4 linked regions of the Chlamydomonas reinhardtii genome follow. The main gene of each other region encodes a partner of the protein of the gene in region 2 in a complex. Links are inferred from orthologs where the notes say so. Each region holds a gene or a part of one and is shown on either strand. Other genes may lie near its edges.

Region 1 (3,959 bases), on a different chromosome or scaffold from region 2:
GCTTGCTCCGCTGCCAACACCATGCAGCATGGATTCGCCTCGTCCCAGCTTGGTCATAATGCGTCTGCGCGGACATCCCCGCCCAGCAGGAAGCGGGTAAGTTTACGTATTGAAATCGGCAAAGTCTTAAGGCAGAGGCGCGGATTGATCAGTGTTGGTGCGGTTTAAAGGCCTACTAAGTTTTGACTTCCTTTATCTACGATGTCTGCAAGAGCTGCTGCTGACTGTTTGCCATTTCCCCCGCAGCAGTGTGGGCGCAAACCGACCTGCGTGCCCGTGTGCGTGCCCGGCTCACCTCATGCTGCCGCGCTTAATCCAGGCTCCGCCGCTGCCCTGAGCCTGCTCCTCTGCGTCCGAAGCTTCATGGCTGAAGCTGTGGGACAGGACGCCGGGCGAAGGCAGGGGGGGGCCAGAAGTGGAGGCACCGGCATGTCTCCAACCGACATGTCGCCGCAGTCAGCGCGTTCCCGCGTGACGTGCAGTGTGTACCACACGGCAGCACCATGCACCAGCCCCAGCCCGCACCTTGCACGCGCGATGGTTTGGCCAGTCTCTGGCTGGTAGAACTCGAGGTCCCTGCATCAGTCAGGAGTGTGGCGTTCATCGGCCCACCTTCCAAAGCGTAGCGCAATTGTCCATGATGCTCGTCTGTTTCTAGTTTATGCCTTGACACCAAAGCTCAAAGCCAGCATCAATGCCATTGCGTGCAGCGTTGCCGAGAACGGAAGGGCCGGGTCAAAATGGCTTTGTTGTTGCTGCTTACTCTTCAGTCTGCAATTCCTCCTCCCTTGTCTTGCGAAATGTCTTAAACATTCTTTCTGGTGAGAGCGGCCTTTACGCCGTCCAAGGGTCAATGCTCAAACGCGCAAGAGCGCCTTACGCGCTGCCTTGCTACTCCATTTGTAAGTAAAGTGTCAAGGTGTAAGAATTTGCTAGGTCAAAGAGAAGTTACTTGGCAGACTTGCACCAAAACGGGCGAGCCTGTAAGACCCATCTGCTCGCGAAAACGCTGGTAATAGAAAGTCTTCACATGTCGACTGTGGAACCGGCAGTGGCAGCGCATGCTCAGCCGCGAGAACCTCGAGCATGCCCCATGCAGCTTCTGCTTCCATTACTGCAGTTGCCGAACAAATAGTCCGAGGACATATATAAGCGTTATATAATACAACGTTTCCAGCAACACACAAGACATTTGGGCCAGCTTCAAGCAAAATGACGTCCCTACACGCACTGTCCCCTGCCAGCAACATTCAAGCTTCGCGTTGTGTGCGCCGCGCACTCCCAGGCCAAGCTAGGTATGCATCTGTACTAGCCACACCCCGTCTACCCGGTCGCCGCACCGCGCCGAGCAGCACGCAGAACGATGGGCCAAGCCCCTCCGCCAGGCCGGTGGTGCTGGCGCGCTCTCTCTTCGACAACCGGGGGAAAGACGACTTTGGTGACCGCATCCTTGCGTCGATACCCTTTCTACTGCCGCTGCTGGATGGCCTGCCTTATGGTGAGCTGGCCCGCTTTGGCCAACAAATTACGTGTGGTCTTTCTTATAGCCACATGTTGTGGACGTCGTGAAGGCGCTGCTGAAACGAGCACGGGGATATGCGAGGCGGAGGTCGATGGTCGCGAGCGCGCGTAGCCTCACGCCCCGCTGGCACCGTACCACCGCTCGCGCTCTCTTAGCGCAGCGCCGTGTCGCGTCCAGAGGCTCACACACGGCTGTTTGCCACCTCAAATCAATTGCGGGACGAGTAGCGGCTGCGTTCGCAGCTCGCGCGCAGTTGGTGCGTCGAGGGTGTTGCAGCGCGACTACGCTGTCAGCTGGGGTCCACTTTTCTCCCTCCACAGGCTCCATTAGCTGCGTGCAGCTCGCCAACCCCGCCAGCGCACGCCTCCCCCCTCCCAGCCCTCTTCAGCCAAGTCTGCTGCAACAATACCTTCTACAAACATTCCCCAGCTCTCAGCCAATCCAGTCAAGCCAAGCCCAAATGCCCGGTGCTCCATTCCCTCTCACACGCACGCGCATCACCACACGCACTCCAACCCTCAACACCTACCCACAACCGCCAACTCCCCCTCAATCCCCTCCCCCACCCCCCGGACGATTCTTGACTATTGGCCCTCTTTCCTTGGGCTCGGGCAAATAACCCCCACTCCGTTCTGCACATGAACGGCTGCCCCCCCCCCCCGCCCCCTTGCAGCCAAGTTCATAATGATCCAGTACCCCTTCGTGGCCCGTGCCTTCGCGCCCGTGGCCCCCCTGATGTACATCTACCACGCATTCCCCTTCGCGCCGTGAGTGTCCGAGAGGGTGTGTCTGTGTGCGTGTGTGTGCGTGTGTCATGAAGTGTGGATGTGTCGGGAGGGTGTGGGTGTCAAGAAAGTGTGGATGTGTCGAGAGGGTGCGGGTGTGAACAGAGGGTGTGGTTACGTGTTTCTTCAATGGGTTGCACGCCCTCCCTCCCAAAGCCCCCCCTCCTCCCCAACCCACCCAACCCAACCCCCCAACCCAACCCACTCAACCCAACCTACACACCCATTTCCCCCCCACCCAACACCCATCTCGCCCCACCCACAGGTTCCTGGTGTTCCTGGCCATCTACGCCGGCATTGTGAACAACCAGGGCCTGCCGCGCTTCGTGCGCTACCACGCCATGCAGGCGGTGCTGCTGGACGTGCTGCTCATGTGAGCGGGGGGACAGGGGGAGGAGGGGAGGGAGGGGGAAAGGGGGGGGGAGGGGAGGGAGTGTGGGTGAGGGGAAAGGGGGGCACGGGAGGGGGGGGGTTATTTGCACCATTCCCAGCAATAAACCAGTGACACGGAGACGCTTGACAGGGGATGGGATGGGAGGGGACGGGAGGGGCCCCAACAGCACGTGTGCGTGTGCGTGTGCGAGCGTGTGTGCGGGCGCCGCTGCTAAGTCGAGGTACCAGGGGCAGCGCCGTGTGGGCACTTGCAGCGGGGCCTGCACGCGACCCCTACTGCCACACCGCTATGTGGCTCCCTTCCCTATCCGGTGCCCCTCCCCTTTTCAGTTCTTTGTCCTCAACCTCTCCCGTCCTCCTCCCCTCCTCCTCCTCCTCCTCCTCGTCCCTCCCCTCCCCCCCCCCCACAGTATCCCGCAGGTCATCCTCAACGACCTGTGGAAGGCGCCCACCGACCCCCTGGGACTGCAGGTGGGTGGGGGGAGTGGGTGAGGGGTATGTGCGTGAGCCCAACGGTGGGGTGGGGGTGGGTGGGGGGTGTAGATTGGGTGGGTGAGGGTGGGGGGAGTGTGTTCTTTTTGTCGGCTTAGGCGGTAGAACGTAGACAATCAACTCGCGGGGAGTGCAGGGAGAAGATCATTCCGTACGCTGCCTACCCCCAACCTACACCCGCACACCTATCCCTCCCTCCCCTTACACTCTCCCTCCCTGGATGGCTATCCCCCCTCCCCCCCCCTCTACCCGCCCAGGCCTACATCACCGCCTACAACACGCTGTTCCTGTTCACGTCGGTCTGCGCCGCATACGGCATTGTAGGTCGGGGTAGGGAGGAAAGGGAGGAGAGATTGGGGGAGGGGGTCGGAAGGGGGGAGCGAGGCAAGGCCCGGGGCAATTTGGGGGGGGGGGTGGGAGCTAGTTTATTCCAATTCCAAAGAAACCAAGACCCAGAACCATGGGGGGCTGTGATGAGTTGGGGCTGTTGGGGCGGGGGGGGGCTGAGATGCCCGTGCCTAACCAAACAGGTTTCCGTCGCCCAACCAAGGAATACAGTGCCAGAGGGGGGGGCCAGGGGGCGATGGGTTCGCGGTGGGGGCAGAGGGCAAGGGCACACCGGGTTTTGTGCTGCAGCGTTTCCCTGTTGCCCGCGTGGCCATCACTAGCAGCATCAGTGGCGTTACTACCAACGATGAACGGCAATATCCCTCAAGTGCTTCAAGAGGGGACATTCCAAAGCACGCTAGGACAATTTTATGCTGCCA
Region 2 (4,233 bases):
TGCCAGCTCCCGCGCAGCGGGCTTGCCTTTGCCCTTGCCCTTGACGCCCTGTGGCGCCGCCGCCGCTACCGCCGCCGCAGCGCCCTTCTGCTGCTTCTGCTTCTGGTCCTTGCCTTTGCCCGCTGCCGCTACTGCAGCGCCCGCCTTGCCCGGCGCGGCCACCTCCTTGTGCTTGCCGCCCTTCGCCTGCTTAGCACCCTTAGCCTGCAGCTGCTGCTGGGGCTCCTCCTCGCTGGCATCAGCTCCCGCGGGCTCCTCAGAGCCCGGCTCGCCGGCACCTTCGCCGCCGGTCTCCCGCCACTCGTCCTCGTCCTTCAAGCGGTAGTAGCGCTTCAGGTCCTCATTGCGCTTCTTGTCCTCAATCTGTCATATACATGAACGCGGGCAATGCGTAAGTTGTTTGAGCGCACATGCCGAGGACAAGCCAGTTATGTGTTGGCAGGCCTGTTAGTGCGTTCGGCGCGTATCCAGAGTGATAGTCGGGGACTGAGGGAGGGCGACCGCCGGCGGTAGACAGGTGCCCGAGCCCGCGGGCCGTCGGGGCCCCCCGATGGCCTCCGCTGCCATTGTCGCGCGCTGTCACTCGCGTCCTAATCTCAACTGACACCCTCGAAGCAACGCAGCTGTTCCTCACGCCTACATAGTATCGTGCTGGACCTACCTTGCGGCCGCGCTTGTCCACTGCCGAGCGCGCCTGGAACTCAGGGTCCTCAAACATGCCTGGCGGGGGCGGGGCAAGGGTGGGGTGATGGGTTGAGCGGGCGAGCAGCTAAGCGGCTGGGAGCGGCAAGTGCGGGGGCAGGGCAGGGAGCGCACTGGGCTGGGCTGGTCAATGCGTGGGCTCAGGCAACCACGAGCAAAAGTGCCGTGGTTGTGATAGCTGGAGGGATGGCGGGCGTCGGACGCAGCGGTGGGTCGTACATGCGTGTCAACAGCAGCAACATCTGCCGGGCAGCAGGGTTTGCCGCCGCCGGCACGGCACGCCGAAGCACGACGCCAAACCCGAGCTGTCCGGCCGGCAAGAAAGTTCAGTAGCGTACCTGCGAAGCGCTTGTCCACCACCACTTTGTTCTTCTGCTTGGGAAAGCGCTGGAAGCGCGGGTCGCTGTGCATGGCGGCGAAACGGGGGTCGACCTTGCCCCCGCCCTTGCCTTCCGGTTTACCCATCTTGATGTGTTTATTTGCAATAGATTACAATGTCAAAAACTGTTATTTTGTTCAAGAAGACGCTTCTAGAGAAAGAACTTCAGAAAGTCCAGGTACTTCTCTACGGGGCTCAGTAATTCACGTACAAGAAGTGCAAATTCAATTGAAACCTTTGTGATAACAAGAAACACAATTGACCCTGAGACCGGACCCATGCACGATCGCTGATGCGGAGGACCGCACTTTCGCCCAAACGTCGACGTGGTCTTTCTTTTCTAGGGCAGCTAGGAACCCAGGACTAACTGGGCATCGCCCTTGACTTGACTGCTTTACTTGCACACACGCCGTCAAGCATTTAGCTTAGGTTAGCAGCTCCGTCGCAGCCATGCAGACCAGCAGGGCCTCTATGGCCCGCAACCAGCCCGCTCGGCTTATGCCGGGCGCGCCGGTGCGCGGACCCCTGTCTCTGCGCCCTATGCGCCCGGTGAAGGCTGCTGCCCCCGTCGAGGAGGTTCAGGAGGTGAGCTTGCAGGCCAAAATCTTGGTTTAGAAAATTGTTCGCAATTGCGCTGCGCATCTGGGCTTTAGCGGTGAGGGCAGGCAAAAAGACGGTTGGGTGTGCAGATTGTGGCCGGCGCCCCGAGATATGCAGCGTGACCGCGACCTCGCCCCCCGTTCCTAATGCGCAGCAAGCCGCCCTGACCTTCATGGAGGAGGAGCCGGTGCCGAAGGCGTTCCCCTACCCGCTGCCGAAGGACGGCACTCAGCAGTTCCTGTCGGGCATCCCTCTGCCCCTGCTCTACCCCGGCTTCCTTGCCGCTATTGGCGCTGCTGGCCTGGCTGGATCGGTTGTGGGTCGCGCTGCCCCGGGTGAGATTTCGCTTTGGTCGCGCCGAGGGGGGCGTGCGATGCCTCGCCAAGGAGCCGACCGCGGTCAGCGACTCGCGTTTTCTATAGAATCGGTTCGCTGTCGCTGCACCAGCAGCACTACATGAGCCAAATCTTCAAGGATCCTCGCTTAGATCTAGGCGGAGAAGCAGAATTCGGGCCGGCTGTCCCGGAGGTCGCTGGCAGCTGGCACGGCCTCCCTCGCAGTGCACCCACAGCCCCAGCAGCGCATCCCCTGCGACAGCTTAGCCTGCCATCAGCCATTTCCATGCGCTTCAGTGGCAGCTAGGCCCCACCGGACTTGCACGTGCACATGCCCTGGAGAGGAGACGGATTGGCTGCATCTGCCGCCACACCTGCTGCTGACCCTACACCCGCCGCATCCATGTCCTGCCGGCGCGCCGCCCCATGCGCAGTTGACCCCGGCGTGAAGGAGGTGGCCTCCTACGGCGTGGCCGCCGTCGCCGCCGCCGCGACCGCCTACGGTGCCGTACAGGTGCGGTCACGCGCCCCCAAACACACCGTGTCTGCCTGCCCCGCCTGCGCTTCGCCGAAGCAGCATCAGTCACCTGCCATCACCGACACGCAGGATTGGATGCATGCAATGACAGCAACAGCAACATAACAACAACAAACGCGACCTGCAAACCCTGAACCCCAACAGGCCAAGCGTAAGCGCGACTCGGTGGCGGTTGTGGATCTGTACAACGCCATCGTGGAGCTGCCGGACGCTACCGACCTCACGCCGCAGACCGTGGCGGTGCGTTGACCGTTGGCCGTTGACTTTGGCTGGGGCCCGTGGGAGCGTTGGGTCGGCGCCTGGGAACGCGGCGTGGCAAAGAAGGGAGCAAAGGCTTGGGATGAGCACGGCGGCCTGCAAGAGCTTATGACGGGGGCGATGGAGGGTGGACGTGAACGCTTGGGAGGAATGCTGCTGTCAGAGCCGCGTTCTGAGCAGGCGTGGTACGGCGCGGTGGGAGCACCACGCAAGCTCCAGGGGCTGCAGCGCAATGGCAGCAGCGTAGGGTCAGTGTGCGGATTTCTCGAGGACTGGTCGGGGGCGCGGCGCTCGGGGGCTCTGCTGCGGCGCGCCGGACAGGAACTGGAGTCAGCGGCGCCTGCAGCGCCCGCAGGAGCAGCAGCAGGAGCACAGAGCGAAAGCAGCGGCATCAATGGCGGCAGCGGTGGCAGCGGCAGAGGACGCGTCCTAAGCCTGCGGCAGAGCCATGCGCGGGGTTGGGCCCGCCGCTGCGGTGCAGTACTGCAGGGCGCTTGCCGCAGCCCTTGCAAGCCGCCGTCACCGCTGCCGCCATAGGCTCGCGGATCACCGACACGGCGCACAGCTCTGTCGGCGGCGTCTGTGGGGCCCCAGCATGTCAGCTCAGACCCGGAGGAGCAAGCGGAAGCCGGCACGTCGGCAGCCTCCTCCGCAGCCGCCGCCCCTCGCAAAAGCAAACCGCCTCGCTGAGCCGCACGATTTGCCGGCTGACCCCGACTCCCCCTCAAACCCGTGCCTCCCCCCGCAATCCCCTCTCCGCCCTGCAGGACGTTGGCTCCAAGTACGGCATCAACTTCCAGAAGGACGAGCTGGACGGGCTGAAGCGCATCTACGGCCAATTCCTGGAGTCCGTGATCCCCACCGGCGACACGCAGCTCAAGGTGGGGGGCGATTGGCGGGGGGGGGGGGGGGGCTGCGGGAAACGTGAGCGGGATACAGTGGTCAGTGGAGGACACGCGGGCTGTGGGAGAGGAGCAGCGGGTGAGGGGAGGGGCGGCGGCAGCCGCAGGGGCCGGGGTGGCCGGGGTCTGAGCGGCAGGGGACTGCGTATGAAGGAGGCGAAGCAGGGCAGCGCTTGGAGGCAACGCAGTACAAACACAGGCGCAAGGAGCTCGGCATCAGGTCACATCTGTCATCCCCACCTCCCAACGCCCTCGCACCGTCCAACCCACCTTCCAATCTGCCTCCCCCCCCTGTACCGCTTTTCCAAACATCCCTGCAACCCCCCTCAGGGCGACGAGGCCATTAAGGTGGCTGCGTTCAAGGACATCCTGGGCCTGGCCGACGAGGACGCCGCGCCCGTGCACATCGAGGTGAGGGAGGCGGCGGGAGAGGGAGGGGGGAGAGGGAAGGGGGAGGGAGGGGCGGCGCGGCGTGCGACAGAGGGAGGGGAGCGAGGGAGAGAAGCGGAGCAAGGGAGA
Region 3 (4,286 bases), on a different chromosome or scaffold from region 2:
CAGCGTCACCGTCGGATTGCTGGCGATGCAGGCAGCGGCGCGCAGGCAGAAGTCCAGCTTGCGCTGGATCGGGGCAAACAGCGCCTCGTACGCCGGCGCCGGCTGCTCCAGGCGGTACCTGCAACGTCAGGCGCAGCCTCATCCCCGTTACAAAGTGACAGTAGACACTTGTATTAAACACACTGACATTGCGTGTGCCCATGTGTAAACACACTCCTGCCCCCATCCACACGTGTCTGAGAGCACTCACCACGCCTTGTCCGTGCAAATCCACACGCTAGCTGGGTTTCCGTACGAAATTACCCAGTCCGTGATTGGTTGCGTTTGAACCGTGACAATCGTCGTCGCATCTGTACATATACATGGTTGGGGTTTGGCGTAAGTGTGTGCCTGCCCTGGCTCAAGGAGGAATGGTGAGAGACGTGGGCTTCTGCGGGTCGCACCTGGTGGAGCGTCAACCGGAGGGCAGTTCCCCACCGCTATCACGCTTCCAGGCGGTAGCGTTGTGAGAGCGTCCAAGCTAACGGGCGCATTCCCAGCAGCCGTGTTGATGATGGTGAACTCGCTCAGGGTCCGCAGCGGCAAGTCGGTGTCCCCGGCGGCCCCTGCTTTTTGGGCGCACGAGGTGGTCGCAGGGAGGGAGGGGGCGGCGACCAAGGTTATCGGTCGAGGCCGTACTATCCAGTTTGGAAGCCGAAATCGTGTTGACGAACACTATCATTATTGCATCTTAACGCCGCCCGGCTGCCTGCGGCTTCTGCGCCAGCGCCAGGCTGGTCGCCGGTAATCGTGAGCATGAGCACGAGTTCGTGCACCCAGCACGCCGGAATAGGATGCCATGGATTCGTCCAGAGCACAGCTGAGGAGCTTGGGCTCAGGACAACCGCCGCGGCAACGGTCTTCGCCTTGGTGTTAGATTGACTACTTTCGCTTCCACACGCCGCGACCGCGCCCATGACCGCCGCAGCCCCCGGATGACTCGTATGCTTGTAGAGACTTCATGTTCCGGGCCTTGCATCTCGGATTGACCTACCGTCCGCGTGGACGACCGGGGGCTGCTCCTCCTGCGTCTCCGCCATGCTCCGGGCTCCTTACAGCGCAGAGCGCAGCTAAATGTGTGCCACTGAAATGTTTGACCGAACTTTGTGTCCCGGCTCAGCAGACGGTGCACGACGACGTCAAGTCCGGGAGACCATAGCCCGCCTGTGAGGCTCCGCGTCTGTGCAGTTCCTGGAAATAATGTAAACAAGCCCTGGCGTGCAGGTGAAGTACGTCGTTCAGGGAGTTCCAGAAGTTTGTGTCCAAACCGGTCGCTTTGTTTTTTTGCTAAGCGTTACAAATGAAACTAAGCGTGCAATTGAATCAGCCTGGAAAGCGGCGCCTAAAAAGCCAGGAATTTCCCAAACTCAGAGCTGCATGCAGGCTGAGTGCTTTGTCCCAGCCCCCCACAGGAATTCCCTGGCACTAATTTCTTCTCCCCTCTCTAGTTAGTTGATACTTAGAGGTCAGCTACAATCGTAAGAATGTTGTGTTCCCGCACAACCGCCCCTCGGGGATTCGGGAAGGCAGCCCTTGCTCTGCCCTCCCGCGCTTCCATCAAATGCCGGGCTGTGCAAGGCAAGCACGCTGGGGTATTGGGGCTCCGGAGCAGGGCTTTGCACATAAAATGCGCGTGCAGGTTGGCCCCGACGCGCGCTAATCGGCAGCGTTCCCATTGCATGCAGGCTCTGATCAGCAGCAGGTGGTGAGTGCGCCCGTTGAAGCGGTCGCAGCGCCCGTGCCTGTGCCGGTCGCGGGTGCGCCGCTGCCCCAGGAGACGACCGCGACGTATCCGATGCCGCCTCCGGCGCCCTACTACCCGGTACGTGTAAATAAAAGCTGATGTGGAGCGACAAGCCGGTCGCGAGGCTAGCCACTGCGATTTGGAGGCTCGGCTCCGGGCAGTCGACGATGGTTCTAATTCGCGCACACTCCGCAGGGTATGCCCGCGGACGCTGCTGCACGCCAGCAATACTACATGGCGGCCCCCGCTGCCGCCTACTATCCTCCTCCTCCGGCTCCCTACAAGGAGGAGCCTGCCTCGACTGGCGCTCCTTGGTGGATTTGGCTCGGCGCGGGTGTGATTCTGGGTCAGGTCCTTGCTAAGGTACGGTGACTTGCACTTGGCAAGTATCTTTCTCTTGCCAACGGGCAATGCCTGGCCGCGCAGGTCCAGGAGTATATGAAGAACCCAAAGACGCCGCAGCAGATAATGATGGAGATGGCCATGAAGCAGATGTCTGGCGCTATGGGCTCGCCGCCTGGAGGGGCGGGGTGAGTTGGGCGGCGGACGGAACGTGGGGGTGGGGGATGGGTGGGGGTTGCGAGCATGAAGAAGATAGTCGCGCACAGCACACGTGAGTACCATGTTTGCGGGAGAGCTGGGGCACAGGCGCGTGCCCACCCAACTGCACACTGCCTTCTGTCACCCATCACGGCCCGCTCAACACCTGTACACACGTGCACAGAATGCCTCCGTTCGGCGGCCCCGGCAGCCCCTTTGGCGGCGCCGCGCCCGGCGCCAACCCCTTCGCCGGCGCCGCCCCGGGCGCCAACCCCTTCGCCAACTTCGCGGCTGCTGCGGCGGCGGGTCCCTCCACCGTGGACACCACCGCCTCTCCTGCCTTCGCGGGCGCCAGCAGCAGCGGTGCCAGCAGCAGTGAGCGCAAGGGCGAGAAGTTCGCATCGCGCCTCAACAGCGAGGGCCGCGAGCCCCGCAAGCCGGAGCCGGCGCCTGCGGCAGCAGCGGCTGGCGCCGCCGCGGCGGCGTCCAGCGCCACCAAGCCGCTTGATGTCGTGGTGAGTTTCGGCAGGGACATAATGCGGTTGGGATGATGGCCTAGGCTGCAAAAGGGCGAGGGGCGGATCGAGGCAGCTAGTTCTACCAGCTTTCTAAAGGCAGGGCGATGTCGGGGGTGAACACATGACGGGGCTCCCCTTGCGCATGGGCGATATTAAGTCAGCAAAATATTGAATCAAAGTGGAGGGCTGGGCGGCACAACGGTAGTGCGTTGCCTTGCCTGCTGACGCGGCTGTGAAGATATTCCAGTGACAGTATCCTGCAGCACCCCGCACCCCCTTGCTCTCCCCTCTCTGTTCTTCGGTTGCTCTCCTGCTCCATTTGCGCCGCAATCCCTCACCCCGTAAACGCCCAGCGCTCCTCCTGCCCCCTTCATTTACGCACAGGAGCCGGTGGTGAAGGAGCCCTCCAGCAGCGGCAGCAGCTCGGGCGCCAGCAGCAGCGGCCGCTCGTCGTTCTTTGCGGACGTGGACGCCGAGGCCAGCAGCCGGGCCGGGGGCACCAGCAGCAGCAGCGGGTCAGGTGAGACGATGGGTGGGGAGAGCGAGGGAGAGGTAGGGCTGAGGCGGGGCTTAGGAGTGCGGGTGGTGGAGAGGAGAGAAGGGGGCACGAGAGGGAGGTGCGGGATGTAAAGAGGAGGGGAGTGAGCGGCGGCCGGGCGAGAGGCATGTGCGGTGTTAGCGGGTTGTGAGGCAGGCGGCGGCGGGGTGCAGCAGGTAGGGTTGGCAAATGAATCAATGGAGGGGCACCAGGGTAACCAGGGCTTGGGTCCTGCGAGTGGGCAGTCAGGGTGCTTGCGCGTGCCGGGCAACGCGCTGCTGGTACCTCATGGCTCCGTGCGTGGGCACCCAACCGAGGGTTAAGGGTTCCGCTTGCGACCGAGCCACAACTTTCTGTCTTCCACCGATGCCGAACATCAAAGCCTTCAGCGGCATGCTCGGCCAGGCCCCACGGTATTCTGCGGGCCACTCCTGCACTCAGCCACCCTCCAAGCTGTGCCCGAACCTGCCCCTGGCCCTCACTCCTCCGGACTCCTTTCCCACCTCGCCCGCTGCCCCCGTCGCTGCCGGTCCCACAGGAGCAGCGCCTCAGGACACGGGCGTGATGACGGACATGATGGAGAGCATGCTGCGCAACCCGGAGATGCAGAAGATGCTGTACCCCTACCTGCCGGAGCCCATGCGCAACCCGCAGTCCATCGAGTGGATGCTGTCCAACCCCGAGGTCAAGAAGCAGATGGAGCAGATGTTCGCCAGCCAGGTGCGTGGCTGTGTGTGTGTGTGTGTGTGTGTGTGTGTGTGTGTGTGTGTGTGTGTGTGTGTGTGTGTGTGTGTGTGTGTGTGTGTGTGTGTGTGTGTGTGTGTTGAAGAGCACAAGGAGAAGTAAGCGCAGACACTGTGTATGCGGTGCAACAATGCGGCGGCATACGGATATGAGTGTGTATGCA
Region 4 (3,401 bases), on a different chromosome or scaffold from region 2:
TGAGACGACTTGCGATTAAGCGTATCCTCTCAGGGCAGTTGGAAGCGCTGGGGCTGCTATCCTGCATACTACTGGTCCTCCTGGTTCATGTATGAGCTCTCCAGCGCCTCCTTCTTGCTTTGTAGCGCACCCTGGAATAGGACGTCCAAATGCGAGTATGCCTCCTGCAGCGGGTTGGCGTCGTCGGCAGCGTTGGTGCTTGCAGCAGGCTAGCGTGCATCGTTCCAACTACGGGTACCTGCCCTGAGCACGACAGTGCGCCGCCGCAGAAGTCACATAAGCGATATGTTTCGCACGTGTGCTGTTCGGTGATACCAGACTTACTTGCACGCCGGCAGCGGGGTTGGCAGGGTTGATGGCCACGTAAGACTGCGACAACTTTTTCAACCCGCCCTGAAGGCCTGCACACGTACAGGGTGAACACATCGCTACGCTTTAGCACGTTAAAACTATGGCAAGCAGCACGCACGTTCACTGGACAGGCTGCTAGCCTGTGCATATGTGTGCGGCTACTGTCCCCCGCCAGCGGCGCACCTTGCCAGCCGCCCAGGCCGCCGCCCTCCTTCTGCACTTGAATGGCCATGACCATGCACTGGCGCGTGTATAGGTTGTTGGGCTCTGCAAAGTTCCGGTAGAAGGTCTCCAGGTCGCGCTCTTGCTCTGGCCGGTTGGGGTCAATGACCATCAGCAGGCCGTCCACCTCCTGCGGAACAGCACGCGGATGGCCGCATGCCTGAGACCTACTGTGCTTGGCAACCAACCCTGCCCATTCCAAGCCCAGCCCCCCTACCCCATGTCAGTGCTAGATCCAAACGTGCACCTTGCCGTCAGACCCGTGCACCGTTCCATCAAGCGCACCTTGGCGAGCACCGGCCAGTAGGACTGGTACTGCACGCTCCCCGACACGTCCCAGAACTGGACCTTGACGCGGTCAATGCCCAGCACGCGACTGATTTCTTGGATCCTGCAGGGATTCAGAAAGCATTACACACCGAGAGCAGCACCGGTCGCAGAGGGAGACGTTGGCAAACGACATTTGAGCACATGCGCGGCCCAGGACAAAGCGACACCACTGACCTGACTGCAGCCGTAGGCTGGTATGACATTTCTCCAAGGAGGATAGGCTGCTCCGCTAGCGCTCGGCACAGCAGCGTCTTCCCAGTCCTCTGAGGACCCACCACTGCTATCTTCAACCCGTGCTCTGCCATGTTTGTTGGATAATGGGAATTGAGTTACAGCTCTACGCCACAGTCGAAGCTGGAAGACCTATCTGAGAAAGAACAGCAATTGCAGTCCCATTGCATGGAAGTCTTTCGGCTGCAGTCCTGCCGTTCACTGACACTGGAAGTTAACCTTTTACCAAAGATTTACAACCCGAGTACACCGTAGCTCCCGAGCAGTAGCCATGCAGGCGCTCGCATCCCATCGCACCCTGGCGACGCCAGCGCGCCCTCGCGCTCTAGGCTGTGCGAGCCTGCCTTTTCGCCCCATCGGAGCTCAAGCCATGCGCCGCCCGGCTCGTGAGGGGGCCGTGACCGTGCACGCGCGCAGCGGCGGATACTCGGCGCCCGGCGGGGGCCGGGGCTACAGCTCCACGCCCGGCATCGTGGACCGCGTCCTGGCTGCGCTGCCCTACATCCTGCCGTACTTCGACGCAGTGCAGTATGGTCGCTACCTGTTCCACATGTACCCCGCGGCGAAGGCGTGCATAACGCCGTTCCTGCCCGCCATGAGCCTGTACCACTCCCTGCCTTTCGGCTCCTTCATCGTCTTCTTTGGCCTGTACCTGGGCGTGGTGAACAACCCCAGCCTCAGCCGATTCGTGCGCTTCAACGCCGTCCAGGCCATTCTGCTGGACATCATCCTTGTGCTGCCGCGCCTGCTGGAGACGGTCCTGACGCCGCCCACGTCCGGCTGGGGCGCGCAAGTGTACATTCAGTCGCAGAGCTTCATCTGGATTTTCATCACCATGTGGGTGGTGTTCGGCATCGTGTCCAGCATGCTGGGGCAATGGGCGCGCATCCCTTTTATCCACGAGGCGGCGGAGGCGCAGCTGCGGTAAAGCCGCAGGGATGGCTGTTACAATTCGGTGCGGGGCTGGGGGCCATTTGAAGGAAGCTGCGCTACGGTGCGGGCTGTCCGCAGCAGTTTGCGCAGGGTTGCGTGTTAGGCTCGCCCCGCATGCCGCATGATTGCAGTGAGGCGCCTTGCACGGCTGAAAAAAGCCTTGGTGCACTTTGGATGGAGAGTTGCGTGTTGTGCAACTGTGAGTGTAGGGGAGTTGCGGGCGTCGTGTACGATGCAAGCTGAGACGCTACTGACGCTGAACCAGTTCTAATGCGCATTTGCATGCTGTGTTGATAACGGAGGAGGCCGTTGGTTTGCTGGGGGCAGGTTCATGAGTTGATCACTGCGACATACAGAGTGTGCTTTGATCGCGGTACTTGCGCTTTGAAGTGGAGGCTGTGGAGCACTTAAAATAACAGAGTGAACATCCGGATGCGGGGACACGTGTGCTCTGGTTTTCCGGGGTCGTTGCCCACCTTCCAGTATGTGCCCAGGCGTCACCAGGCAAGCAGCAGTGGTGATGCGTGTACGTTGCACGTGCGGCGTGCGGCGCGGCAATCCTCGCAACTACCAACACTTTAACTGACACACGGGGATCACAAACGGGCTTTCGCGCAACTGCCAACGAACAGGGGGGCGCGTGGCGTGGTGGTTGGCGCGCGGCGCGATTGGGAACGCATAGTTGGACAGCGAGGCGTGTGGGAAGCTGCGACAGAGCACGGCGGGGGCATGGCGGAGGCTGACGGTTGGCGCGCCGCGTGAGTGGGAGTGCATAGTCGTGCGCGCGCTGTTTGGGAAGCCGCGTGTGTGAGCTGCGTGTAAACTCAGAGAAACCTCCCCGCTACGCAGCGCGATGGCTCGCCCCATGAGAGGCAGGGCACGCTCGGCGGAAATTTGAACGGGCGCTGAGGGCTGCGTAAAGTCCACCCGATACCTCCGCAGCCCGCTCCTCTCAATCACGACGTTCCCGCCTGACACACAGACACTTCTCCCACTCCTCCCACTACTTTCCCCGCCCAACCAAGTTCTCCGACCCTCCACATCCTTACCGATTTCCCCTGTTTCGCCTATCCCTCCCTCTTCAGTCGCGCGAACAGCAAGTCCAATCACTCCCTCCTCCGGTCCGCACTGGCTCATCTGTCTTTTCAGGCGCCCCCGTCAATTACCGTGACAGCCCCACAGATCTCGCACAAACTGTCCTCTCCCACCCACCCAGAACGCGCACAGCCCCCCCGACGTTCAAAACAACAAGGAGGTGGCTGCCTTAGGGAGGCAGGAAAAGGGCTGAGCCCTCCCCTCCCGGGTCGTTATCAACCCAGCCACCTTGACGCGGG

Evidence for each region. The genes of interacting proteins can lie anywhere in the genome.
Region 1: CHLRE_10g452450v5 (region 2) and CHLRE_04g225050v5 share a complex: the UniProt entries of both Arabidopsis thaliana proteins name them as parts of the tic complex. The link is inferred for Chlamydomonas reinhardtii from reciprocal best matches to the Arabidopsis thaliana genes TIC110 and Tic20-V.
Region 3: CHLRE_10g452450v5 (region 2) and CHLRE_12g508000v5 share a complex: the UniProt entries of both Arabidopsis thaliana proteins name them as parts of the tic complex. The link is inferred for Chlamydomonas reinhardtii from reciprocal best matches to the Arabidopsis thaliana genes TIC110 and TIC40.
Region 4: CHLRE_10g452450v5 (region 2) and CHLRE_01g039150v5 share a complex: the UniProt entries of both Arabidopsis thaliana proteins name them as parts of the tic complex. The link is inferred for Chlamydomonas reinhardtii from reciprocal best matches to the Arabidopsis thaliana genes TIC110 and Tic20-II.

The regions. Positions count from the first base shown.
Region 1 is NC_057007.1:3,016,847-3,020,805, forward strand, and holds the start of CHLRE_04g225050v5 (uncharacterized protein), read left to right. Parts: upstream 1-1,159; 5' UTR 1,160-1,212; coding exon 1,213-1,498; intron 1,499-2,195; coding exon 2,196-2,289; intron 2,290-2,572; coding exon 2,573-2,680; intron 2,681-3,110; coding exon 3,111-3,171; intron 3,172-3,449; coding exon 3,450-3,512; intron 3,513-3,959. Other genes in the region: CHLRE_04g225000v5 (uncharacterized protein), read right to left, coding at 1-64, 296-373, 526-576, 764-813. UniProt on the Arabidopsis thaliana protein: May be involved in protein precursor import into chloroplasts. Not redundant with TIC20-I, TIC20-II or TIC20-IV.
Region 2 is NC_057013.1:4,571,201-4,575,433, reverse strand, and holds the start of CHLRE_10g452450v5 (uncharacterized protein), read left to right. Parts: upstream 1-1,433; 5' UTR 1,434-1,531; coding exon 1,532-1,666; intron 1,667-1,835; coding exon 1,836-2,016; intron 2,017-2,450; coding exon 2,451-2,530; intron 2,531-2,698; coding exon 2,699-2,794; intron 2,795-3,579; coding exon 3,580-3,693; intron 3,694-4,044; coding exon 4,045-4,125; intron 4,126-4,233. Other genes in the region: CHLRE_10g452500v5 (uncharacterized protein), read right to left, coding at 1-363, 662-720, 1,041-1,167. UniProt on the Arabidopsis thaliana protein: Involved in protein precursor import into chloroplasts. Forms a voltage-dependent cation-selective channel at the inner envelope of chloroplasts, which specifically responds to a transit peptide.
Region 3 is NC_057015.1:2,247,097-2,251,382, forward strand, and holds the start of CHLRE_12g508000v5 (uncharacterized protein), read left to right. Parts: upstream 1-1,486; 5' UTR 1,487-1,617; intron 1,618-1,724; 5' UTR 1,725-1,834; coding exon 1,835-1,861; intron 1,862-1,978; coding exon 1,979-2,146; intron 2,147-2,209; coding exon 2,210-2,313; intron 2,314-2,507; coding exon 2,508-2,838; intron 2,839-3,225; coding exon 3,226-3,361; intron 3,362-3,917; coding exon 3,918-4,099; intron 4,100-4,286. Other genes in the region: CHLRE_12g508050v5 (uncharacterized protein), read right to left, coding at 1-118, 251-350, 444-605, 1,034-1,079. UniProt on the Arabidopsis thaliana protein: Involved in protein precursor import into chloroplasts. Part of the motor complex consisting of a co-chaperone (TIC40) and a chaperone (HSP93) associated with the import channel (TIC110).
Region 4 is NC_057004.1:5,530,217-5,533,617, reverse strand, and holds CHLRE_01g039150v5 (uncharacterized protein), read left to right. Parts: upstream 1-1,370; 5' UTR 1,371-1,504; coding exon 1,505-2,062; 3' UTR 2,063-2,901; downstream 2,902-3,401. Other genes in the region: CHLRE_01g039200v5 (uncharacterized protein), read right to left, coding at 69-164, 325-401, 535-703, 859-964, 1,078-1,208. UniProt on the Arabidopsis thaliana protein: May be involved in protein precursor import into chloroplasts. Not redundant with TIC20-I, TIC20-IV or TIC20-V.